7 linked regions of the Oryzias latipes genome follow. The protein of the gene in region 2 interacts with the protein of the main gene of each other region in a pairwise test. Links are inferred from orthologs where the notes say so. Each region holds a gene or a part of one and is shown on either strand. Other genes may lie near its edges.

What was found.
Region 1: the proteins of syntenin-1 (region 2) and khdrbs2 interact in binary tests that used the Homo sapiens proteins (3 or more experiments, as listed by UniProt). The two-hybrid records come from large-scale screens. The link is inferred for Oryzias latipes from reciprocal best matches to the Homo sapiens genes SDCBP and KHDRBS2.
Region 3: the proteins of syntenin-1 (region 2) and probable global transcription activator SNF2L2 interact in binary tests that used the Homo sapiens proteins (3 or more experiments, as listed by UniProt). The two-hybrid records come from large-scale screens. The link is inferred for Oryzias latipes from reciprocal best matches to the Homo sapiens genes SDCBP and SMARCA2.
Region 4: the proteins of syntenin-1 (region 2) and hsbp1 interact in binary tests that used the Homo sapiens proteins (3 or more experiments, as listed by UniProt). The two-hybrid records come from large-scale screens. The link is inferred for Oryzias latipes from reciprocal best matches to the Homo sapiens genes SDCBP and HSBP1.
Region 5: the proteins of syntenin-1 (region 2) and kctd1 interact in binary tests that used the Homo sapiens proteins (3 or more experiments, as listed by UniProt). The two-hybrid records come from large-scale screens. The link is inferred for Oryzias latipes from reciprocal best matches to the Homo sapiens genes SDCBP and KCTD1.
Region 6: the proteins of syntenin-1 (region 2) and receptor expression-enhancing protein 6 interact in binary tests that used the Homo sapiens proteins (3 or more experiments, as listed by UniProt). The two-hybrid records come from large-scale screens. The link is inferred for Oryzias latipes from reciprocal best matches to the Homo sapiens genes SDCBP and REEP6.
Region 7: the proteins of syntenin-1 (region 2) and ubiquitin-conjugating enzyme E2 R1 interact in binary tests that used the Homo sapiens proteins (3 or more experiments, as listed by UniProt). The two-hybrid records come from large-scale screens. The link is inferred for Oryzias latipes from reciprocal best matches to the Homo sapiens genes SDCBP and CDC34.

What each region holds. Positions count from the first base shown.
Region 1 is NC_019873.2:24,545,854-24,549,880, forward strand, and holds the start of khdrbs2 (KH domain-containing, RNA-binding, signal transduction-associated protein 2), read right to left. Parts: upstream 2,801-4,027; 5' UTR 2,530-2,800; coding exon 2,439-2,529; intron 1-2,438. UniProt on the Homo sapiens protein: RNA-binding protein that plays a role in the regulation of alternative splicing and influences mRNA splice site selection and exon inclusion. Binds both poly(A) and poly(U) homopolymers. Phosphorylation by PTK6 inhibits its RNA-binding ability.
Region 2 is NC_019865.2:5,713,278-5,716,777, forward strand, and holds part of syntenin-1, read right to left. Parts: intron 1,615-3,500; 5' UTR 1,614-1,614; coding exon 1,563-1,613; intron 1,188-1,562; coding exon 1,091-1,187; intron 1-1,090. UniProt on the Homo sapiens protein: Multifunctional adapter protein involved in diverse array of functions including trafficking of transmembrane proteins, neuro and immunomodulation, exosome biogenesis, and tumorigenesis.
Region 3 is NC_019867.2:1,033,582-1,037,081, reverse strand, and holds part of probable global transcription activator SNF2L2, read left to right. Parts: intron 1-106; coding exon 107-173; intron 174-247; coding exon 248-358; intron 359-2,427; coding exon 2,428-2,670; intron 2,671-3,500. UniProt on the Homo sapiens protein: ATPase involved in transcriptional activation and repression of select genes by chromatin remodeling (alteration of DNA-nucleosome topology).
Region 4 is NC_019864.2:28,979,185-28,983,342, reverse strand, and holds hsbp1 (heat shock factor-binding protein 1), read left to right. Parts: upstream 1-1,358; 5' UTR 1,359-1,475; coding exon 1,476-1,520; intron 1,521-2,195; coding exon 2,196-2,262; intron 2,263-2,398; coding exon 2,399-2,523; 3' UTR 2,524-2,525; intron 2,526-2,608; 3' UTR 2,609-3,477; coding exon of another isoform or gene 3,478-3,580; 3' UTR 3,581-4,034; downstream 4,035-4,158. Other genes in the region: DNA topoisomerase I, mitochondrial, read right to left, coding at 3,478-3,580. UniProt on the Homo sapiens protein: Negative regulator of the heat shock response. Negatively affects HSF1 DNA-binding activity. May have a role in the suppression of the activation of the stress response during the aging process.
Region 5 is NC_019875.2:25,797,271-25,800,324, reverse strand, and holds part of kctd1 (BTB/POZ domain-containing protein KCTD1), read left to right. Parts: intron 1-169; coding exon 170-314; intron 315-1,617; coding exon 1,618-1,923; intron 1,924-3,054. UniProt on the Homo sapiens protein: May repress the transcriptional activity of AP-2 family members, including TFAP2A, TFAP2B and TFAP2C to various extent.
Region 6 is NC_019862.2:22,294,565-22,298,590, forward strand, and holds the start of receptor expression-enhancing protein 6, read left to right. Parts: upstream 1-1,226; 5' UTR 1,227-1,310; coding exon 1,311-1,443; intron 1,444-4,002; exon of another isoform or gene 4,003-4,026. UniProt on the Homo sapiens protein: Required for correct function and survival of retinal photoreceptors. Required for retinal development.
Region 7 is NC_019875.2:22,337,205-22,339,532, forward strand, and holds the end of ubiquitin-conjugating enzyme E2 R1, read left to right. Parts: intron 1-78; coding exon 79-289; 3' UTR 290-1,828; downstream 1,829-2,328. UniProt on the Homo sapiens protein: E2 ubiquitin-conjugating enzyme that accepts ubiquitin from an E1 ubiquitin-activating protein, and catalyzes its covalent attachment to other proteins by an E3 ubiquitin-protein ligase complex. In vitro catalyzes 'Lys-48'-linked polyubiquitination.

The sequences.
Region 1 (4,027 bases), on a different chromosome or scaffold from region 2:
CATCACATCCTTTCTTTCTGCCTCCCTGTCTTCTCATTAGGAATCCCTTTGGCTTTTATACCTAGCACGTTGTCGAGTCTTACCAAGAAAACCTCTGGGATCTATTAAGAGCTTGCCTTTCTTGTTTCTGTCTTCCACCCACTATTAAAAAGACCCACTGTGTTCTTTATTCAAAGGAAACTAAAAGCACACCCAACAGCTGCCTGTTCTGTCGGTCTCTGCAGCCATTAGGCTCACACCATACTGACAGTAACTGAGTTTGTTTCCCTGAAGGAAATAGTGTTGGTGGGAATAGGGGGGGATTAGCACCAACAAACCGAAAGGAACTTACAGACAATGTTATCTTGAAAAAGGTTTTGGAAAATTCCCAATGTTTGACTTCTTCCTGATAGATCAAAATGATGCAGGAACCTTGAGATTTGCAGAAAAAGAAAGATAAAAATGAAAATGTCATTCTGGACATTTAATTTAAACAAAAGGTTTTCACATCAGGATAGTTTACTGCAGTAACACTAAATAAATTGGGAGACGTTAACCAAGACTGTTGTAAATCCATATTTTGTGGTTTATTGTGTATAATGTGAATAATGAAGGATGGCATTGTATTCTGCTCAATGATAAATCGCCCCTGAATCTATAACAAGTGAATGCATTTTATCTTGTTGTCCACCAATAAGCATGATGCTGCATTTTTACGCTGCAAAGATGGATGGGAGAGCTCTGTGACAGTGGATCACAGAAAGAGCTTTCTTGTGCTGCCTGTTTCTTTCTATATGCTCTGTGCTGATGTGGGAAACATGATTGACTGCTCTGATTGGTATCTGTTGTGGATGATGTGAAAAGTTGAAGTTTCAGAGGTGATCTTGAAACGAGATTCTCTAACTTTATCAGGGAAATGCTGCAAATTTTCTCAGCAACTATTGAATATCCACACTGGAATGTGATGTTAATTAGGGCTAAGTGACATTCAAGTGTGCTAATGAAAAACTCAAAGAAGAAAAAAGGGGGCATTTTAGTTTGCACATATTTTATTGGAATTTTGGCTGTGTGAGTCAACACTGACTGAAAAAGTATTCTGTGTAACAGATGATCTACACCCCAGCAAGTGGCAAAGGCCATACTGTGAGGTGTTTCATCAACACATTTCAACAGTAGTGCTTAAGGGGCTGGAAAATCAGAGCACAGCAACCCTCAGAACCGTTAGAATATGAACACAGCACAGTTCTTCCATAAATACATAAACAAAATGGTAAAACTTGTCTGCTTTTCTTGATTAAGAAATGTAAACTAAACTAATCTGCCTAGTAAAATCACATGATCAATTCAACAAAATATATGGTAAAGTACAGGAAAAAAGTGTATTTAGTTTCTGCAATGTTTTTTTTCTAGCAAAATGTAATTATATTTGTGTCACATTTCTTTATCCCAACGCTTTGTGTGGACTTTGATTATTGGAAGCTTCATGTCCATTCCAGAAATGCCAAAGTTACTAACTTTCAAATTAGTATCTGTGCGTGCTTTGGGCTAGTGTGCTTCCTCTTGAAGTATTATATTCTTTGAATATAAATGAACACATGCACAATGAGGATCTTTGGCGGAACATTATTGTATTCTGCTGTACATTTTTCTAAAAAATACAGACAGCAGATATTCAGTTGAATAATCTGCAGTTCTTTCTGGTGCACTTTTGTTAGTTCACATACATCCAAAATTAACAATTAAAGAGATACCCTGCAGTAATTGTGTGTGTTGGCGTATTATTTTATGAACTTTTAAAGAAAGGTTTATAAGAAAAACAGTTGTCTTTACACCAAAACCATGAAAAAATAGTCTAAAAAAGAGACATGGACTGCAACGAATCAATACAACAACAAAATTCTATACGAATAAATAAAAAAAAACAACATAAGAAACAGCAATTCAAACATATAAAAAAGGCTTGTATATTGTGATTGAACATGATTTATCTTGTATATTTGAACGTTTTATTTCTTTCTATTGTAAACGTGCATCTAAAAAATATTTGCAAACGATTCTTACAAGAAAAGCAGCCACTATGTTTTCACTGAGAGCTTGATCCATCCCGTCACTCTGCTAAAGTGTTGCACTTTTGCCTGCAGCACCTAGAAGCTCTTTCACTGAACATGCTGGCTTTTTTTCTCAACTTCAGTCATGCATTTTTCTCCTTTTAACCTCAACTTTCTTTGCTCAGAAAATCTGTCGAGTTCTGGACTGAAGCTAAAAAAGTGCAGTTGAGGGCAATTACTCCAAGAAGCACAAAAGGACAAAGAAATATGTGTCAAAATCTCCACAAACCTCTCTGTACTGGACTGAATTGAAGATGCTTTGAGACTAACAGAACGGGGACTGGTGCCCAGCAATCTGCAGCGTATGCAGCAGATTGTAGACAAAAAGAAAGAAAGAAAAACCTGACTTACCTTCTGCCAGTAAACGCACCGCGTGCACAAAAGAGGGATCCAGGCTGTTTTTCTCTGCCACCAGTTCAGGTAAACACTTATCTGGATGCATTCTGATCACAGCTCTTCAGCAGCGGAGCAGGTGTGTGATCACTGGAGTGCTGAACGTCGGAGTGCAGCTGTACCTTCTTCCCCTCTTGCCTAACAGTGGCTGCAGTTGCTTTTATTGAATAACAACAGAGGGGAAACGCCCAGAAAAAAACCACACACCTCAAAACGTCCAAAATACCTGACCAGAGGCTGAGCAGTGACTCAGAGGTGTGAGCCCATCCCGGCTGCAGCTGCCTCTTGTCGGCAACCCGCCAGACTCCCGGGCATCGCTGCGCGCGTCCCCGCCCCTTTCACACGATTGGCCACGTTGAAGAATCAGTGCTGATGAAAAGCTGAGGAGTTCCCTACTGAGGGTAATGCAACACACAAGTTCGTCTTATTAGCACCACCAGCCTGAGAGTTCAGCACGTCCAAGAGGAAAATGTGGTTTTAATCTGAAATAAATGAACCAAGTAACAAATACAGAGTGAGTGCATCCAAAATGAACTTGTCAATTCGATTATTTAAGATTAAAGTGAAAACTTGCAGTTTAATTAATGTCACGCAACAACTAACCTCTTACAACACTCGGCTGTGTCCAGACAAGCCAGACTGTCCGCTGGTGTCAATAATCCACATCAGGGTGATCCGCAGAGCCGCGGCTCTGTTTGTGTCGCTGTCCATGGTGCTGATCTGATTTGAGACTCACAGAAGCTCGTTTTTTCTCATTAGGTTTTGCCTTCCAGAGTTCAAAGTTCTCGGAGATAGGAAGAGTTTCTTTATTTAATTGATTTATCTTCTATTGTTCTTCCTTGTTGACATTTTGTTTCACTGCAGATTTTCACTTCAAATAAATAAATAAACATCCATCTTTTCATCTGTCTTCTAATCCAGTTTTATCCATTTCAGTATCAAGGGCTGCTCGAGCCTATCCTGGCCACTATTGGGCGAAGGCAGGGTTCACCCTCGACAGGTCGCCAGTCTGACGCACATTCACACACCCATGCACACTTGCATTCACACTTAAGGACAATTTAGACCTATGAAGCATGTTTTTTGACAGTGGGAGGAAGCCGGAGTCCCTGGAGAAAACCCAGGCATGCATGGGGATAGCTTGCAAACTTCTCACAGAATGGTCCTCCATTTGTGATTCTGTTTCAGGTCCCCCAGCCGGGACTTGACCCTTCTTGCTGTGAGGCAAGAGTACTAAAATAAAGGGGGGAAAAAACAGACAAAGTTATCAAAGAATCAATTGTCTGTTATGATGCTGCATTTTGGATAAGGCAATTTTCAGCTTCTTCTTACTATTATACATCATCTCAAAAAACTAAGCAAAAATCAAGCAAACACTGTGACATGTTTAAAAAATACGAGAGGACTTGAGTCGCATTTGTGTTTCATGAAGAGACTTGAGCCTTGAATTGAGACCTAAGGTTTGGGTCCTGATAGCAAAGTTTATTTGTTTATTCTTTTTTTGGCAACATAATCTCTCAGTCAGGTGTAAAAATCAAAGCTTTCTT
Region 2 (3,500 bases):
TGCGCTGAGACGCTGTCACTTTAACCCAATGCATCATGGGAGATCTAGTGCAAACAGCTGCCGAATGCAGACAGACTAGCGTCTCTGAGCTTCATTGTTTTGTTCACTTGTTCCACGGTCTGATACCGGATCCTGCGGAAAGATACACCGCTAAAGACGAGCTTTAGCTGATATTTTTGTTAGAACTGAGCGATTTTATGAGCTGAATCAGAACAAGGAAGTGAAGACTTTAGGCCTCCAAGAATGATTGGTGGAGACAGTTAAAGGGGTGGGAATTTTCCGAAAACGTCTGAAACTACGGCTAGATTCTTATCAAAATGTCTTTAATAGAATCAAATAAACACAAAGAAAAAAGTGTTTTACAATCTTTCATATTCCTAACTACTCATTGTTTTATCAGGACCTGTTTGGATGAACAAAGAGCTGATATCCTGGAGACGGAAAATGTTTTTAGATCAGTTATTGAGGGCAATTTCCCACGGCACACTGGTTGAAAAACACTGCTGTAGATAAACAAACAAGAGGTTTCCAAACATTTGTCCCTTAAGCTTTAGATTTAAACCAAATCTCCAATCCCGTCCATATTTATGTTAACATCCTCTTTTCCCTTTCAGGTCACGTTTAAAACCTAGTCCCTTCCTTATGCCAACCCCCCCAACACCATATCCCCACTGCATTACTGCCTGAGCCAGTCACCATGGTGAGGAAACACAAAGAACCAAAAGCACTCAGGACTTTGCATCCAAATAGGGAAGAGAAAGTAAATGAAAGGAACAATAAGAGGGAAGATAATCAAAATGTTGTCCTTTGCAAAGCCTGGAGGTTGTCTGTTCGTATTTTCCATTTTATAGAATCATTAAGAGGCTTCCTGCAGACATCACTCCACATGTAAGACAACTCTACTCTGGAAGTGAAGCCTCTTGTTTTTCTAAACAACTTTAGCTCCGATCTTCAACACCAATCAGCTCCTTTAACAGACTTCATCCTCTGCAAAACTTTGTCCATACATTACCAGTTTACACTGCAGCTCAACAGAAGGGAAAGGGTCAATCTGGAAAGTGGTTCTGGAGTTCGAACCGGTCCCACTCACCGGATGCTGGCATGGCAACAGCAGCAAGCTCAGGCTGGGAGCTTCCCTCAGTGATGGCAGGCATGGGGGCAGCAGTCTGAGCGAACTGGACCTGAGCCTGAAAACAGCAAACACTTCAGTCAGCTCTGTTTAAATGCAATTTCAGATAAACATATATGGTCAGGACTTTCTGCGTTACTGAACCGTTTGCGCTTAGAGACATATATTCCATCGCCGACTGAAAAAATGTTGGTTAATCTGACCACATCCGAGGCCCATCAACCAGGTTACCACAGTGTGAAAACAGAATTTAGACCTCATGAAAAACCACGACAGTGGTCACTTTCCTTATTGTGTTTGGGATCATTGTTGAAAATCAATGCATTATAAGAGTTTTAGAGTTGATTCAAAATTTTGTCTGCATCACATAAACTATAAAAACTTCCTATAACCCAAAGTTAAAGTCACGTCACTGACACAAAGTTCCTCTTACCTTGATGACCTTGTCGACCTTGAGGTCCTCGAGGGATGGATACAGAGACATGCTGAGGAGAAAACACAAACATCTGGGAGTGAAGGTCAGGATCATGAAAAGCCTTTTTGTTTGATTTTTTTAACTTAGGTTGAAACATTTTTCATTTCGTGTATTAATGTTCAGTTCTATTTCCTGCATTTAGTTTTTATTAAATTTAACCTTTTTTGTTTTTTACATGCATGGTCTAATTTTTATGACTATGAGGGATTCAGTGGGTTCAGAAAAAGGAATATATAGTTAAAATTTGGATTACCATTTTTCTATTTTCATTGAATATTTAAAAGGAAATGTAATCTATATTCTTAGTTTTTTTGTTTTCTAGCAATATTTATACTTTCATCTCTATTTCTTTTTTTAAACGCTTCCTCATTCTGTTGTGATTTGATTGATTGATTGATTGATTGATTGATTGATTGGACAAATAGATGGATGTGTTTTAATTCTATAGATTTTTATTCTTTTTATATTGTGTGTGTTTTATATTTTATTGTACTTGGGTTATTTCCAAGGGTTTATTGTCATATGCACAGTGTGAAGCACTTTATGTTTACATGAAAAGTGTAACGTAAACATAAAAACAGTAGAATTACTTCCAGCTGACCTCAAATTCACGCCTGTGTTCACAATTCCTTTGGGTCACTGAACTGATGCTCTGGTACCAAAGTGCTTTGACCACAGCGGCAGAATCCATCACATAAACATCTTCAGTGGAGGAAAACTAACGATATTTTCAAGGTTTTGCATCACATCCGAGAAGGCCTCATATGCAGAGTCATGCTAAAATGGATTTATACAACGGCTTTGTTGTTTGTTAACTTTCTGTATGGTTTATTTTTACATGTATTCATTTAACAAAAGACTTTATTTCAAAGCAACTTGCATGTGAGATGCAAAACAAGCAAACACTGGGTCAATCGCACACTACTAGACACACTTCTAGTTCAGCTCAGAGAAAAATGTCCCGTTCTGTTTTTTTAGGCACAGGAAGCTGCGGAAGAGGTCACTCCAGACCATTTTTTTTTAAAAATAGGGAGTGAAGCAGCTGTGGGTGTAGAGTTGGAAAACTCACTGCACCTTTGTGGGTCGCAGAGCTGAAGAGTTTGAAACAGTTTCCTCGAAGCAGAGATATTTATTTGGATTTATAAATACCACATGAAGACATATATGTCCTAAACAAAGGAGTCTTTTTGGAGCTTAGCACCACAAACTTTAAGATCCGGACTGATCAGCTGCCATCAGAAGGAAGCTTTAAAAACGATCACATCCACGTCTACAGCTCATGTTTTCATCGTCCACACTCCATGAATAAATGGGTTTAATCTGCACTTATTCTCATAACATGGGAATGTGTTAAGGTCAAATGACAACAGGACGCAAACAGGCTTTGAGATTACGAAAACACAGAAATACCAAATTTGAAACAGTTTTTTTTTTAAACATTTCCACCCCCCAAAATGTGGAATCAGGAAATGAGTCAGCTGACTGAGGTTTCAAAACAACGCAGCAGCTCAGAAACCATCTGTAGTATGATGGCAGGCAGCTAATGAGCAAAGTATGTCTGAGAGTGGAATTTGACTATGCATGTTTAATTGATACCATTACTTTTATACACTAAACAACTCACATTCCACAAAGAGCCTTTGTGTTGAAAAGACTCGGACGCAAATCCTAAGCCTGCAAAGAAACAGCTGATCTCACCCTTGCCAGTTCTTCTTTTCACTTTTTTTTATGTTTGATAGAAAAAACTAAACTTACAAAGTAGGAATTACCTAAAATCATTTAGATTCCATTAGATCAAATTTCCTACATCACAATTAAGCCTTTTCTCAAATGGCGTTTTATCGTCCAGCTCCTGATTCACAGTCATTTGAATAAAGAAATACTCAGAAATTAATT
Region 3 (3,500 bases), on a different chromosome or scaffold from region 2:
ATTCTTAAACTTTCCTTTTCACATTTCAGAAACTGCTTTTAATCCCGGGTGACCCCCCCCCCCCCCCTCCCCACTGTCTAATGATTTGTGTTGGTTCTGGTTCCAGGACTTTGTCAAACTGGGTCTATGAACTCGACAAATGGGCTCCTTCTGTCGTCAAAATTGCTTACAAGGTAAAAAAAAGATTTTTGCAGCCGAGGCTCTGACGCCGTGCTTTTCACTGACTCCAGCCCCCTCCTCATTCCAGGGAACTCCCGCTCTGCGCCGGGGGCTCGTTCCTCAGCTTCGCAGCGGGAAGTTTAACGTCCTGCTGACCACCTATGAATACATCATTAAGGACAAGCACATCCTGGCCAAGGTGAAGGAGATCAAAGTTATATTCTGTACACCAACAGCTTTGGGATGTTTCAGTTTTCTGAAAGTTTCAGGAAGTCCAGCGGCTTTTAAATCCACCGCTTTGATTTGAGATGTTTGAATAAATATCAGTCAACAGGTTTTACAGTTTACTGACCCAAAATGGAAGCATATCATTCTTCACATGAGTGAAGCCTTGATGTCACTCATCTGAAGAATGTCACGCAGCCATCATGCACGTTTGGCGCATATTGCTCCGATGTAAATTGGTCACAGGTGAATAGACGTGGAAAAAAAGGGGGGAAAGGTTTCAGTGTAATTTTCACAGAAGTGTCACGAATGAATCAGGTTAAAAACACGGAAGATGTACAAATACACCACGCAAAGAACACGTAAGCGTAAAAATACGTCCGTCAATGACGTCATCTAGACGTGATGTGTGCGCCGTATACGCGATGTAAAAGTTAGACATCGGTGGTTCATGCGTGAAAAGTCTGTTAGACACACGTGGAAAGAAACACATGCATCTCGCAAAAGTCACACAGATTTACATAGTAATTGTATGTAGTATGTTTTTTAGTAAGTACGTTTTATTTATATGGCGCCTTTCCCAGGTAAAATCACAAAGCGCTGAACAATAAAACAATACCATACAGTACAGTAAAAACACATTAACAATCAATTAAATGTAAAACTAAATGAAAGAAAATAAACTTTGAATAGAATTAACAAAAAAACAGTCAGCTAAAAGCATTTTTAAATAAATGTCTTCAGTAGACTTTTAAAAGAATCGACAGAGTCGTATAAACTATGTTTCCAAAAATTCTGGATACCTCAAAACCGAATTGGCATAAAGACCCGTCGTTCAAAACCCTCCATGTACATCTGCACATCCAGGAATGACAGCGGCAGAAACACTTGAGTTGGGTTTATCACGCAGGGATCACGACGTGCTGGCCGTCAGACACGGCCTTGACGTGAAAATCACAAGCAGCTTTTCTCTCAGAAGAGCTTGGATTGGCCCTCAGACGGGACGGAGCTGTTGGCTGCTGGGGGGCTCTCACAAAGATCCACATCAGAGATGTGCTGCTAGAGGGAAAACACAGTTCTAATGTAATCTGATGTCATGTGGAGAGACATGAGCAGCAGGGGGAACCGCTCTGGAGCTGCAGCACAAACATGTTTGATCCACAGCCAGAACTTGAGAAAATGCAGTGGATAAAAGGTGTTTAAGGGGGGGGGGGGTCATAATTTAAAATGAAGGGTTAACCATAAACAGGGAGGGGTTACATTTGATTTGATTTGAAGTGGTTTATTTCAAGCAATCAAAGCAACAATAATGCATAAAATTCAGGTGTCCATTCATACAAAGACGTATTAAACGTAGGATAATTAGACGTTCAATCAAATGTTGCTTAAAGAGAGAGGAAGGAAGTGAACTTCTAGAATCCAACCCTGTTCCACTGTAACCATTTGATTACATTAACTATCATTATCCGGTTCATGACGTCTATCAGACATCTATGCCTTACCAAAGAATACATTAAGAATCCTTAAGTATCAAGAAATCACATGACAAAGATGAATGACTTAAAATAGACATAACTCTATTTTAGAAATCAACATAGAAGCAAATGCAGATCAGTTATCTAAAATATATGCAACTTATGTTCATTAGAAAAATTCTGACTATGATTAAAAATAACACTATTTCAGAAAAAATGGACATAATACTGTTTCAGAAATCTTCATAGTGTTTGCAGATCAAGTATCAAAAGTTAAAAAGATGTGCAGATTATTTTTCATTAGAAAAAAATCATTTTTTGGGGGGAAGTGAAGTATTTATCACTTTAATCACTTTAACCATCCTCAGTAATAGTTTAAGCCATTTATTATTATAATTATATGGTAATGCTGTGAACACAAAAAGATGTTTTTTCTGGTTCCATTTACCGCTAAAACTAAAGTCTGCACTGACGTCTGAAGGATAAATGTGTCAAAACGGTCAAAAACCAAACACGGACGTGAAACATTCCTTCCTTTAGATGAAACGACCGTTTTTTCCCTTTGCAGATCCGTTGGAAGTACATGATCGTGGATGAAGGTCACCGCATGAAGAACCATCACTGTAAGCTGACTCAGGTGCTGAACACCCACTACGTGGCCCCCCGCCGCCTCCTCCTCACCGGCACGCCGCTGCAGAACAAGCTGCCCGAGCTGTGGGCTCTGCTCAACTTCCTGCTGCCCACCATCTTCAAGAGCTGCAGCACCTTCGAGCAGTGGTTCAACGCTCCGTTCGCCATGACGGGAGAGAGGGTGAAAACACCGTCTTCATCCGTTTCCTTGACCAGTTTTTGTACTGTCAGCGCTCCCCTTTCCTGGTGGTGTGACTCTCAAACGTCTGTTAAAAACACTTACACCACGGTCCGGCTGAATACGCCATTCTGATTGGCTGCTGGGTGTGCATGAAAGACCACAGTGATGACCGCAAGTAGCAAGTATCACTATCCCCTCATGCACTATGGAGACACACTAGTCTCACTGCACATTTGTGTGTGTACCACATGCAATACCATCGATGTGTACCAGTGTGTACTTGCTCTTGTGTATTCACATGTACAGTCGAATAGGAAATACAATTTACACACACACAAGGTGAAATGACGCCAACTTCAAACTTTCAAACGGCTTTTCCACAATCTAAGTTCAAACAGCAGATCAGAAAACTCTGATGACCCAGCATTCTAGCAGCATTTGAACACATCATCTAGGCACACATCTGAAGGCCTCCAGCACTGGTGGCTCCCTGCTTTTGTCGGCGTGTCTGATGCGATGGGTGCGTAGATTTGTACGCCTAGGAGCCGTTTTTTGAATTCCCGGTTAGTTTGAAGGGGCTGTTCTTTTCTAGTTGCGCGTAAATTGTATTTCGTATTTGTACATTGTTGATATTTGAGTGTGTCAATAATCAATTGCACAAATATGCACAACATGTACTATATGAGCTGCAAATCCAGAGTTACGCACACACAAACATCAAGTGTGTCTATTTTCTCTCTATTGTGTTCAGGTCCTGATAAACTGCAGAACATAAGACTAAAGATTTGAAAATGGAAACTCGGTCCAACATTTGAACATTTTATCGATTT
Region 4 (4,158 bases), on a different chromosome or scaffold from region 2:
GGCTCTCTAAGGGAGGGGTCTGCCAGTCTGCAGATAAGTTTAAACTGCAGACAGCATCTCGTCTTACTAACAGTTTCACTGCAGCTGCTGTGGACACCGATAGTTGAGTTACACAGATGACCTGCCTGCTTTCAAAACACCCTTAAAGCTTTAGCTCCATACAGCGTACCCAGGGACTTTCTCCCTTGTGTTGTGCCTACAAAAGCATGAGGTGCGCATGCCAAGAAAATACAGGGAGGTTACAAAGGAGGTGGGAACATTTTTTTAAAGTATAACTTGACAAAGATTTCATTCAGAAAATCGTGCCAAACTCAGCTAAGACGTCACCACTGCTGTAACTTAAGCAGCGCTTAATTTTGAAAAGACAAGAACAGCAGCAAGACATTAAACACCAAACCTCAGCATTATGGCAGGAGTTTGAAGAGCAAAAGTCACGTCTAAGTTACATATAAAGCTCAGTAATTGTTTGCTTCTGATAAAAAAAGTTACAGGTTATAATCAGTTAGACTAGGCACAAGCCTGGAGGAAGTTAAAACCCGTTCTAAGGGAACCTTTGCACAATTTATTCAGTACTGTGAGGCTTCTGCTATTTCCTTTTGTTTATGTGTTGAAAGTAAACACTAACAATGGAAGCTGAAATGTACCGAAGCTTCTTAAAAGAGGAAACTCAATGTTATGTAAGCGGAGCATATTTTCACGGGGTAGGGCCAGCAGTGCCTGCTTCTTCATGTCACTCAGGACTTCCACACACATCCATGCCGGAGCTGCTGCTCCTTTGGGACAAACTCAATACAGCTGCAGTCTCGTTAAAAAAAATAAAACTTCAAGAATGATGCATAAAAACCACGTGGTAAGCCTGAGTTTAAAGCAACCGTGAAGTTTCAGCCTATTGCACGCGTGCGTAAATCTGAACTTTACGCAAACAGCCGCATTTCTGATGCACAACAGCACCGTCAGTTTTCTGCTTTACTCACCGATCGCCTTCAGTCCAACAGAACTTTGCCGTCTCCCGCAGTGAATTCGGCGTGAAAACCCGCCGAGTTATCCCGCAGCTCCAACTTTCAAATCCCAACTCGCTGAGGAGGAGGAGAGACGTGTGCGCGCATCCCCACACACACACGGCTGCGCATAAACACACACAGGTCTAGAATTTCCGCTTCAATCTTACAGCTTCATGTTTTTCTTTTCATCTAAACATAAGAACGTCAACTGATTTTTCAAATGTGTTATTATTTTATAAATATACATACAACCTAATGTTTGTCGTCAATCCACAGCATTATTTGTATCGAAGGGTTCTGCAAATTCACCGATCTCAGCCCATGAGCAAATCTCGCGAGACTTGCCGTGTTGTGGCACAGCTGACTCTCCCGTGGGTGGTACAGGCGAGCAGAACCTTGAGGCTAAATAATCGAATATAAAGCGCCTTAAATTTAACCGCCGTGAAGGTCCGGACATACAGTTTTATTCACACCATGGCTGAAACAGATCCCAAATCAGTGCAGGACCTTACTAACGTGGTGAGTTTGGACCGTCAAGCTAGCTAGGACTAGCTATATGGATGTAGCTAGCAATGCTAACTATACTGCTAACAAATCAAATGCAGGTTGCATCTAAAGGAGTATTAAGTTTGATTCCTTTTTGCCTTTTCCCCCTTTGTTTTACCACTTGACACCTAAATTCTGATCGATCTCACTAAATATTTATTAGTTTATCACCATATAAAAGACATTGTTAGCTGATTAGCACTTCATCCTGACTAATTTAATTTACATAAATCTTCTTTAATCAGCATTTTCAATAACAAGTATATGAATTTACATTTTTATTGTAATAATAATAATCAGCAGTTCTCGCAACACCCAGGTTACTTCTGTTGGTGTGGATACCAATAGTGTTGCCATGGAAATGAACCAAAACTAAAGGTCTAAGTTGCACCTCTACCTACTAAATCACAGACTGTATTCGATTCTTCTGAAACATTAGGTGTTGATTAGTGTGTTGACTGGAAGATGAAGGTCTTAGCTCCTTTTTAGTGGTTTTTCTCTCACATGCAGCTATGTCCAGAGTGGGGTATGTGAGGAGGGGACTGAGAGGGCGGGAAGCGCTTTTGGGCCGCTCACAGCTTGATCTTGTACTGTTTCTTGTTGGGTTTGACAGATTAAAGTTTGTGGCCTTCTTTTGTTTTTCTAAAGGTCCAGACGCTCCTGCAGCAAATGCAAGACAAGTTCCAGACAATGTCAGACCAGATCATCGGGAGGAATATCCTTTTTTGAAAGCCAGAGCTCTGATGGTCGTCTTTACATTTCTCATACTCTACATCAAATGTCCCGGTGTCTTTTTCTACAGGACTCCAGTTTGCTTAGAAAAAAAAAAGATTTGCCTTAACAGTGTCCACTTGATGAGATGAGCACACGAATCGATGACCTGGAGAAAAACATTGCTGACCTGATGACCCAGGCTGGTGTGGAGGAGGCCGAGGCGACACCAGAGAAGCCGAAGGAGAGCCAAGGATCATCATGAAGGTGAAGAAAAACGGTCTACCCCTGTAGAATTTCTTTGTTCTGGTAGATTTCCTAATCAGCTTTATTTTCTGTCTGTCCCACAGGGTCAGAAATGATGTGAAGTCAAAGTTCTTTACCGATGACTTCTGATTTGGTGTGAAATGCTTTTTTTAAATATATATATATATAAAATGGTTTAACGGTTTACAGTTATGTCATGATGTGAGAAGTGGAGTAGTAGTAATCTGAATTAGTGTGACCTGCCCTTCAGAATTGTGTATTTGGTGCCCTGACCTGGACGTTCGAGCCGCCAGCGTCGGTTCTTCTCTCCGGTCCGTGCTTGGTAACGGGCCAGCAGAACCTCATCCCAACACGATGAACCGCGAACACCCGGAGCTCGCAGCGCAGCACTGTTGGCAACGAGATGCAGAATGCATTCCATTTCTGATTTTCTATTAAAGCGATGTACGGAGCAGTTTCTCCTTTTTGACCAGGTGCTGATAAATAGACCACGGTGCTAAGAGTTTCTACATTTTCTCTTATGAGGCAGAGTCGTCTGATGCCACAGACCTTTCATAACTACTGAATTCATCCGATCTGCAGGTTCAATGCTCTTTGTTGTTCATGAATTTGTTGGATTCTGACGTGAAATGAGCAGAATTGGAAATGTGCCACTTAACGAGTGTATAACTAAGATTTTGCCAAATTGAATGATTAAAACATCCCTTATTTTACCGCATGGTAGGAACCTTTATTCAAGTGTATGCAAACAAAATGTAACAGACCGTCTTCAAACCAAAAGTAGCAGTAAACATCCATTAAAGTGCAGCTTGATTATTGAACTGCAGTAGTAGAACCTCAGCACTTCATAAACATCCCCTCAATACAATATTCATTTACTCTACATGGGATAAAGCAAAAGGTCCCTGAGCTGCCACTTGGTGTGAGTTTATACGTCTGTGGAAGTTCAGTTTCAGAACTCGAAGTCGTCCTCCGTCATGTCGATGGCCCAGGCGAACTTTTCCCGTTGGGTTTTGTTGTAGATTTTTTCTATAGGCACCTCCATGTTCTTACACCTGATTAAAAACAAGAACAGAAAAGCGTTCAACCACAAACAACTGAGTATTACAACTGCAGAAGAAAAGTCTTAAACATACAATGGGGTGAAGAGAAACCTTGAGTTTATCGTCCTGAACGTTTTTCAAGCCAAACTTCACCAAATCGTTGCAGAAGAAGCATTTCTCATCTCTGGTTTAGCACCAAACCCCACTTTCCTTTGGTACAAGCAGCATTTCTATGAATTCTGAAGTCTTGGAACAATTGGCTGATCTCTATAGAAATCAGGTCGGTCACATGGTGAAACGTCAGATCAGTAAACTGGAGGATCTGTTGTCTGAATGAGATCAAGTGACCACAGATCCTAAGAGCCCAGAATCAAAGTTAACGGATGGAATCTGGACATTTCAACACTGCAGCCTAAACCAGAAACTTAACAAAATGTGTTCTTTACAATAAAAATCTATTAAAACATTTCTGTTTTTGGGTGTGTGTACGAGCTGGATTCGCAGTAAAATAAGGGTTTGAGTGACGGGGCTGTTCTGCCCACTCAGACGTTTCTGAGGATCGCTGACGACCATCAGACCGAGCTGGAGGT
Region 5 (3,054 bases), on a different chromosome or scaffold from region 2:
TGTTTTCAATTACAATGTCAGACTTTGATGTAAAACAATAAAAAAAGCATAGATCCATCATAAACTTCTGCCATTTGCAGAGTAGATAAAACTTAACATTTAAGGATTATTTATCCTCCAATACCTCTCCCCCCATGCTTGACCTGCCACCCCTGCTCTCTCTGTCTAGAATCGGGCGTCTCTTTGATGGCACAGAACCAATAGTCCTGGACAGCCTGAAGCAGCACTACTTCATTGACAGGGATGGACACATGTTCCGTTACATCCTCAACTTCCTCAGGACGTCCAAGCTCCTCATTCCAGAGGACTTCAAAGTGAGTAGGAGAATCCCCAGAAACTGTGAAGTCTCCTCAGCAGTCAGCAGTCCTGTAACTCGTCTCTCACAATGAATGCTGAGGCCGTGGAATGCCTTTGGTCACTAGATGTCCTCAAGTTACCCAAAGCAGTTACCATGTCTGTGCACTATAAACTAATAACACGATACCAGGGTGTGCAATTACGGTTCCTACCTGCCATTGTTTCCCAGATGCTAAATTTAGATATATGACATTACTAAAAACATATATTTTTGATGCATCTATGCACAGTTTTTGGCCCCCATGTCTGTCCACGATGGTTTTTTACTGCATTAGCCATTCTCTATTATATTTTGTATGTGTCATTGAGTCAGTAATGACTTACCCTTGGAGAAAACAAACATCTGCATTATCTGATGGACTGTCCAGCACAACTCAATCAGTGGAAAGTATGCCAGTTAAAATAAGCGCAGGCTCAACTTGAAGCCATTTTTCACTTTGGTAGGTTTTGAGAGAAGTATAAGAAAATGGTAAAGTTGCTGGTCTGCAAATAAAAAAAAATGCTTTCAACTTAAATAAATCTCCTTTTCAATTTCACTTTTTTAGGTTTTACTAAATAGTGTTTTAATTCAAGCCTTTTTGTTTTAGGTTGGATAGTTTGACTTTTTAGCAGGGCGATATGAGGAAAACTTGCAATGTGCAATATTAATGATCAACGTTGTGATGACAATGTGACTTGGGATAGAAGAGCAAATAGCCAACCAAAAAACAACAAATACATAGTTTCCATTACAGCGCAACAGTTTTATTAAAACAAAAGTCAGCATCACTTAAATTATGCACCAAATGACCCTTGTCTACATAGGAGGTGGGTAACTAACATAAAAAGGCTTCTTTCGATTGATCCAATGTGTTAAGGGCTCTATGTGATTCGTTAAATACTTAAAGCTGCCAAGAGACTGTTTTAACATGTAAACATTTGACGTAACTATTTATTGCAATCATTAACGATAAGTGTGTGATTTATTGTGCAGGCCTACTTTTTAGTCCCAGTTGTATATTTTTTGAGGGGGCAACAGAAAGGTTAACATTTGACTTTTTAAATGTCACCTTTATATTCCAGTCACTTTGTCCACTGGTCTATGACAATTGATTACCCTGTCTTTCAGTTACCGGTAAATAAACTGGAGGAAGAAAAACTTTTTTCTAGAAAAAGGATGAATTAATAGTTACTAACACATTTGATATATTATACATCACTGAACATTTATTTCAAAGTGTTATTTGCGTTGTAAAACCATTTCTGAACCGTTTTCTCCAGGACTACAGCCTGTTGTACGAAGAGGCTCGATACTTCCAGCTGCAGCCCATGCTGGCTGAGCTGGAGCGCTGGCGTCAGGATCAGGAGCTGGGCCGGGTGTCCCGTCCTTGCGAGTGCTTGGTGGTGCGTGTTGCACCCGACCTGGGCGAGAGGATCACACTTAGCGGGGACAAGGCCCTCATTGAAGATGTTTTTCCAGAGATCGGAGATGTCATGTGTAACTCAGTGAATGCAGGCTGGAACCATGACTCCACACACGTCATCCGCTTCCCTCTGAATGGTTATTGCCATCTCAACTCAGTCCAGGTAATGGATGCACACGGCAGCTTTAATCTGAAAGTGTCCAGTTATGAACACAAGTATACAGTGTGTATTTTTACTCTCTTTTTATATGTTAAATGTATCCACAAAGTCGTTTGACAGGGTTGGTAATCTGTTCATCTTGCGTCTTTCATCTGCTGTTTTGTGATGGTCTTCAGAGATCTTGCGTCTGATTCCAGTCTTTTTATTTATTTATTTATTTTTTTTTTAAATGAACAAAAATCATCAGAAAAGCCCTGCAGGAGTAGAAGCTCTTTGATAAGTTCATCAAAGCAACACTTTAGCAAGGCATCAACGCACAAGTCGACCACACTTTTTACTTCTTCCCTGTGATCTGACTGCAATAGTAATTCAGACTCTGACATCAGAGTTGATGGATGGTCAGCCTCAGACGTTGGATTCTTTTTTTTTTTTTCATCCATGCGCGTAAACATTGTTTTATTCTCTTTTGTGGGCATTTATGATTGCAAAAATGTGTGCTAACATTTTTAGTTGTGGGTTTATGTTGCCCTGAATCCATTTTGGAAGATGACATGAATGTTAACTAAGGGGAAATTACCAGGTGGGTTATGAAAAAAGAAAAATTGTCCCATTTGCAAAATCACTTACATGCCTTTGAAACTATGTAATTGATTGTGCTTTTTCTCTCCTGTGTTGAGGATCCTGCAGATGACTCCTGCATTTATTGTCTGTCAGTCTTCTAAGTCTGAAGCGAAAACAGAGGTTCTCAGAGTCCTGAAAGATCAGAATTTTTAACAACTAGTTTAGCAGCCTATATATTGCAGTAGATCTTGTAAAGTTACGTTCACACTGCCTTCAGCAACTCATGTTCAAGCAACCACTTCCAATGAAAATTGGATGTAACACTTTGTGCATTTCGGGGTTCTGCATTCAAAGCTCTTGCATTCACTGAACGCAGGTTGGGTGATCTTTCACCAACCAGAGACTAGTATTTGGTAGTGACGTATGAATGGTGTCCCTATTAATTCATTAAATTGATCACGGAGGAGAAATTAATAATTGCGGTCTGTGCCCGGGTGAAATTATGACACCAAGTCTTTTATATGTCGGAATAGAGCTGTGAAAGAAAAAGCCTGGAGAAAGATTTGCGAGATT
Region 6 (4,026 bases), on a different chromosome or scaffold from region 2:
TATCATCTTTAGAACACAGGGAATTCATGAATGGTCGTCGCAAAATGCTCATATTGATGAGATTTTTACTTTGTGAAATCCATGATGTTATATTTGCTGTAAAACAAAAAAAAGCAGTGAGCATGGTGTACGAATTACTCTTAAAATCCAGGGCACTACATAGTCCCGCACTATATAGTTTTTAGTAGTTAGGTATTAGAGAGGGAATTGAGACATAGCCAGTGTTTCTTATCATTTATTATTGGTGATATCAAAGTGAACTTTTCAATAAAATCAGGCCAAATAGGAAAAATACTCATGCAAATAAAAATATTCCTAACTTATTGTGAGTCTTGTAAGTAATCAGAGATGAGTGCTTTTTGCAGTAGAAGAGGGGTATATGGGTGCAGACCAAGAGGTGCGTGTTCCTTGGAACTGGAACACACTGTTGAACTTTCTCTGTGTTGTGGGCCTAAGGGCCGTGTCACACAGCTACTATGTACATTTTACACATTTTCCATGTATTCAATTTCTGTCTTTCGTGATGAATGCGCGAAATACGTAATTCGCTAGTGTTTCCTGTCATGTGTCGCTGTGCGCAGATGTTCGTCGAGGATGTTGGGCGATTGGCCTTTACCTGAATTTGGTTTTATGCTGATCAGAATTTTTGGTTAGATGAAAATTAAGCAGGTTTTGTGTATTTTACGAGGCTTGTACACAATTCAAGCGTAAATCTTACGCAATTGTGCATAGTTTTTGTCTATGGACTTTTTACGTACGTACCACTGAAGTATAACTTTTATATTGCGTATAGAGCACACATATGACGTTCAAATTAAGTAAATTAATGCATGGATTTTGGGCCATATTTGCCTTTTTCGTTGATTTACATGTTCTTTGCATGATTTATTTGTACTTTTGTGGTTTCAAAGTGGTTCAATTCTGATTCTCACTCTTTCCACGTGTATTCACGTATGACCAATTTTCATCTGTACAATGTGCGCAAAATGTACGTAATGGCTGTGTGACACGGCCTTAACTCAAAGAAATTCTTAAACACCCCAGTGACCTGCTTCCAATTCACAACCGTTGTGCGGATCATGACTCTTTGTTAAGATAAACCGATATACATATATATGTTGGAAATGACTTTTGGGTTTCATGACGGTCACAGCCATATCATTATCCACCTGCTCCTGTGCTCCTCCCCCTCCTCCTCCTCATCAAAGCAGATTGCTGCTGTCAGGGGATTAACGGCGGTTATAACTTCCTCTTCCCTGCAGGCTGCCTTTCCCTGACCCATTTTGCGCTTTAGCAGCTCTTCGAGCACCATGGGCTTGCTGGACATTTTTTCTTCCATCAAAGAACGGGCCGAAAAGTTTCTCAATGAGAAGAACATGGTGACCGATTTTCTGGGAAAGGTAGAGGAAAAGACGGGGATCAAGAAGAAGTTCATTGCCGCGGGTACGTAACGTGACCCCTTGTTTTTACTCTGTTCAGTTCAAAACGAACTCCCCAACAGATATTTCTACGTTGATTCTTCTTGAATTTAGAAGACTTGCATTGGCTAGCTGCAAGCTGATGGAAAACGGATGGGGATTCAGTTAATCCTCATGTGAAAAAAAGCTACCAGGATGCAAAACCAACTGTTCATATTGATCAGGACCTCCTAAGTTGCATCTGTATTCCATTGACAAATGGTTTCAAATTGTGTTTTTGGACTGTTTGTCATGGTGCGGGGTGGCTCGAGAGCCGGTAGGACCCAGTAGCAGAGGCGGAGGCACGAGGATCAGAGTCTAATGGATTTAATAAACAAAAACCAAACACAAAGCGCTGCAGAGCAGGATTTCTGAACAAACAAAGCTTACTTGACGTGGCGAGGAACATGAAACGTGGAATGTGGCAAGAGACAGCATGACATGAAACACCATGACAAGACTAATGAACCAGTACAGGAGGAAGGCAAAGACATGACTTAAGTACAGACAGGGCAGACAAGACACAGGTGAACACGATCAGGGCAGATGGGGACCAAAGGAAGTAAAACTCAAGAAAACAGACAAGACAGGAGAACTTTCAAAATAAAACAGGAAACAGAAACAAACCAGACAGAACAAGAACAAGGACGAAAAACAAGACAACAAACTCAAATCATGACACTGTTGTCCCAACAGTTAACGCAACATTCCATTGGCAAAATATGCTAGGCCTCTTTAATGTTTTTGTTTTGGTTTGATCCTATGGGCTTAGGTAAGCAAAAAACATAAATAGACAGCAAACTGCTAATAGATTTAGTTGACTAGGATACAACAGTATCACAATGCGCTTTGTCCCCTCGGGCATGTACTATTTTGATAAAAATCCCACTGAATGTTTTTTCCGCCTCTTGTAAACAATATGTAAGTAACCAATGGCAGCTTTATTAATAAAGTTTTGAGCACATACATTTTTAAACATGTGAGACAGAGCATCTCCAGTACTATTCCAGAAGGGTTGTCGATGACATGGGTGACCCTGATCCATGTATTGAGGTATGCTGCCATGCAGGAGACTGTTCCAAATGCAATGGTAATTTTTTGTTCACCTTCATTAGGTATTGATCACAACTGCCCTCAAAGGTGGGCAGGTGAAAACTGGGCACACAAATGGTTCAGTATGGAGTTAGTATGTGCACCTTACCGATGACTAGGGCACTGAACGCCAGCATTACCTGTTCGTCATAAGTGTGTATACTGTAACTCAGATGTGATACACTTACCACATGCACAAAAATGGTACGTTCCATTTTCACACTGTCCCTTGAAGTGGCCATACAACCCTCAGAGGAGGTGAAAAATCTGCACTCCCCTGCTCCTATCTGCAACTCTCCACGGGCCCGGACAACCTAAAAACCTCCATCACCTTTACGGTTCAACCCCCTGTATGCGTGGGTACAGGGTTTTCTCTGTCTGCTCTCTTTCTTACCCACAATTCTTTATGTCATTATTGCAGTTGTAGCTATAAGGTTTGTTGCAGGCAGAATAAATTTCCTTTCATCCCAATTTGAAGATGTGCATATTTTTTCTTTAACAAAAAGCATAGATGGACGCAACCAATCTTGACTGATCTTGAACATTTGGAAGGGTTCCCAGTCCTTGAATGGGAGACTGCGTTGGACTCCCTGGTTCTAAAACTTGGGGAACCACATGGGACGGGGGCACTCTCCAGTGTTTCCATGTGCCAATCAGAAGTCTGGGTAATGCAGAGGAGGTCAAAAGGCTTCACCTTTCATTGGCTGGGTAGGCTCCATCTTTCCTGTGATCAGGATAACATTCAAAAGGGGCCCAAGTCCAAGAGGTTTGTTTTTCCAGGAAATGATTTTAATCGCATAGCTTAAAGGGAGGCTACACCAAATGATTAATACTTTACCCAGATTTGGCACCAGTTCATAGCTTACAAATGCTATAATATGAAGCACCTCACTTTTATAACTTCAGAGGAAATTAAGACTAAAGTCTCTGGACTTGGGCCCTTCTTGAATTAAACAGGGGCTCTGCCATATTGGATAACTAGTGCTGCCATCTATGGGATGAAGCAAAACCCATGCAAGAGAGGCCCAAGTCAAGGAATTTTGCACTAAACGCATTTTAAATGTCAAAGCATTGTCAATACATTACAACGGACTTGGAACTTTTTTGCACATAATCAGATAGCTTTTCCTTTGAAGTCTATAGAACATGTAATATCTGTATTTTGAAAAATTGTGGACTTGGGTCCCTTTCGAACTAACCGATTCAATTATCTTCAACCAATCATCCATCAATTTTCTAAACCCCTTTTTAAGGATTGGAAGCTTGGTTTTAAGTTCTTGCCTTTGTTATTTCTTGATATTTTATCAACAAAAGAAATAGACTTTAATTAAACATAAGTTGTGTCCTAAGATTCCACTGAGTCAGATCTCAACACATCTCGTGAGCGAGTAACAGCAGTGTATTGAGGGTGCAGTGGGTCAGTGACACAGTGAGCAGGACATGATGTCAGTGTGGTGCCTGGCGCTCACCGTCTCCC
Region 7 (2,328 bases), on a different chromosome or scaffold from region 2:
GTCCTTCACTGTGTTTCCTAGCTTTCTGTGCGTTTGCCGCGTCCTCACAAATGAAAAATAATCTGTTGTCTCTTCCAGGAAACAGGTGATGGCCACCAAAGCTGAAGCTGAGCGCGATGGTGTGAAAGTTCCCACCACGCTGGCGGAGTACTGCGTCCGCACACGTGCGCCAGCCCCCGACGAGGGCTCGGACCTCTTCTACGACGATTACTATGATGACGACACCATGGAGGGCGGGGATGGCGACTGCTGCTACGACGAGGACGATTCAGGAAACGAGGAGTTGTGACATGCTTTTTGACTGAACGCCCAGTCCGGCTATGCTCCTCCTTTTTCCCTTCCGGGGTAGCGAGATGTTCTAGGTTTAACACCAAGGAAGACTGGAATCTTCCCTTCTCTAAACGGATAAGAGCTTTTTTTCTCGTGCCTCTGTTTTTTTCCCCGTCTCAGAGGTTAAAACAAAAGACTCTGTAAAAATGTGGGACCTGGTAAGATTTGCACCAGCACATACGTTAGCAGTTTCTTCAGTTTGGCCACCTCAGACTTTACCATGAAGGATAGTTAAATGCTCACCAAATCTTTTTCACTCACTGTAGGCTTTAATGGGGTGGAAACTCTCTTAAACATTAGTCAGCCTCTTTTGCATATTTGTTTTTCCTAAATTGTAAGTGAATTTTGATCTCCGTGATGGAAAACGAAGGACTTCAGGCTTGTACTAGGAAAAGCACTGCAGAGATCCAGTATTTTTCACCTTTTACAGCATCCCATTACATGCACCAAGACACAATAAACTTGCCACGTGACAGTATTTTCTAAGTTTCTGTGCATGCCAGAACATCTTTGCAAGCTTTTAGTCTCTTGTAACGGCGGACAGTTTTCCCACCGCATCATGATTTGTCCTAGCAAAAAAACCGCTGCGGCGTTGAAGTGACTCTGTGGCGAAGAAGCAGATGGGCACGTCAGCGGGGTCCATACCACGTGGACATTTTTGATCTTGTGGTTTTTTTCTGGTTTAGTGTTGAATGTGTTTCTCTGTCACTCTGGGTGTGTCTTTTTTTTTTTTTTTTTAAACAACCTCGAATTAAGGGGAGATTGAAAAGTGTTTGAGTTGGTGGGGGATTTGAAATGTTTTTGAGCTCTCGAAGTGTGGGGCCGTTTTTGAAAAAGCAACAATTGTTTTGTTAACTAATCATACTTGGAGTAAAGGTTTGAATCGTAGTCAAAATACTTGATTGCTATTTTAAAGACATCCAGTTGTAAACACAGTATCACTCCGAAACACCTGATGGACCCAAAGAGCTAAAGCAGCATTATAAAGACTCCAAAACCTATGAAAAATGATGTAGTTCTGTTGGTTTGGTTGAAATTCATTATAATTTATTTTTCTTTTAAATTCCTTCATAGTTTACCTGAATGGTGTCACCTGTGAGATTATTAGGTAAAATCATGCACGTAGTCTGATTCTAGATTCTTGACGTTTTTCTGCGCCGCAAATGAAAATGTTAAGAAATAATGATCCTCTTTATTTTAATTTTCTTCTCTGTTTTGTTGGGTGATTCTGGACGGGTGTTGGTGTTTTTCTGAGAGTATGGATGGTGTTTTTTGATTTAGTTTTTTTCCAATCTGCAGTATTGATAACTTTAATGTCTGAAGTAAGTTTAGTAAATAAATTAAATTTCTCAGGATAAAAATTCATTTGAAACAACTGTTGAGGCAAGCAATTAATTTCCAATATGCAGATGTAGCTGTATGAATGATTAAAGTGTTTTATTCACATGTCTCTTTTTTCCCCCCCAGCTATTTAAAATAAAGATTTATTTCAAAGAAACATTCATTGAAGTGCTTGGAATGACTGCACATAACGGAAATCCAATTTTTTGTTGTGCTTTGTTATTTTAAGGAAGTCATTTAAAGTGTTCCAGCTGAAGACAACAGCATTTAGTTTGCTCATGCTATTTAACTTTTGATAATACCTTAAAATTCAATTATAAAGAGTAACTTGAACATGTGTGTTCAAGAGGTTGGAGGGAAATAGGAATTTTGAACTACCAAACATGTCAGTCTTTATCTTTTATTTATTACTTTTTTATTATTTATGTAGATGTAAGAATGCAAAACTCAAACTTATTCATATTCTAAAATAAACTATTTTAAGTCTGTGTCTGTATGGTGTGAATCGTATCAATGATGTTCCCTATGGTTTCTGAATGCATCACATGCCGGCGCACATTGATGTCGTCATCCAAACGCCGCAGTTCAAACCTAAAACTCGGGTTTGGGACTGTTTTTCAAACAGAAAATAACAACAAAGACAACAGTTACCAGAGT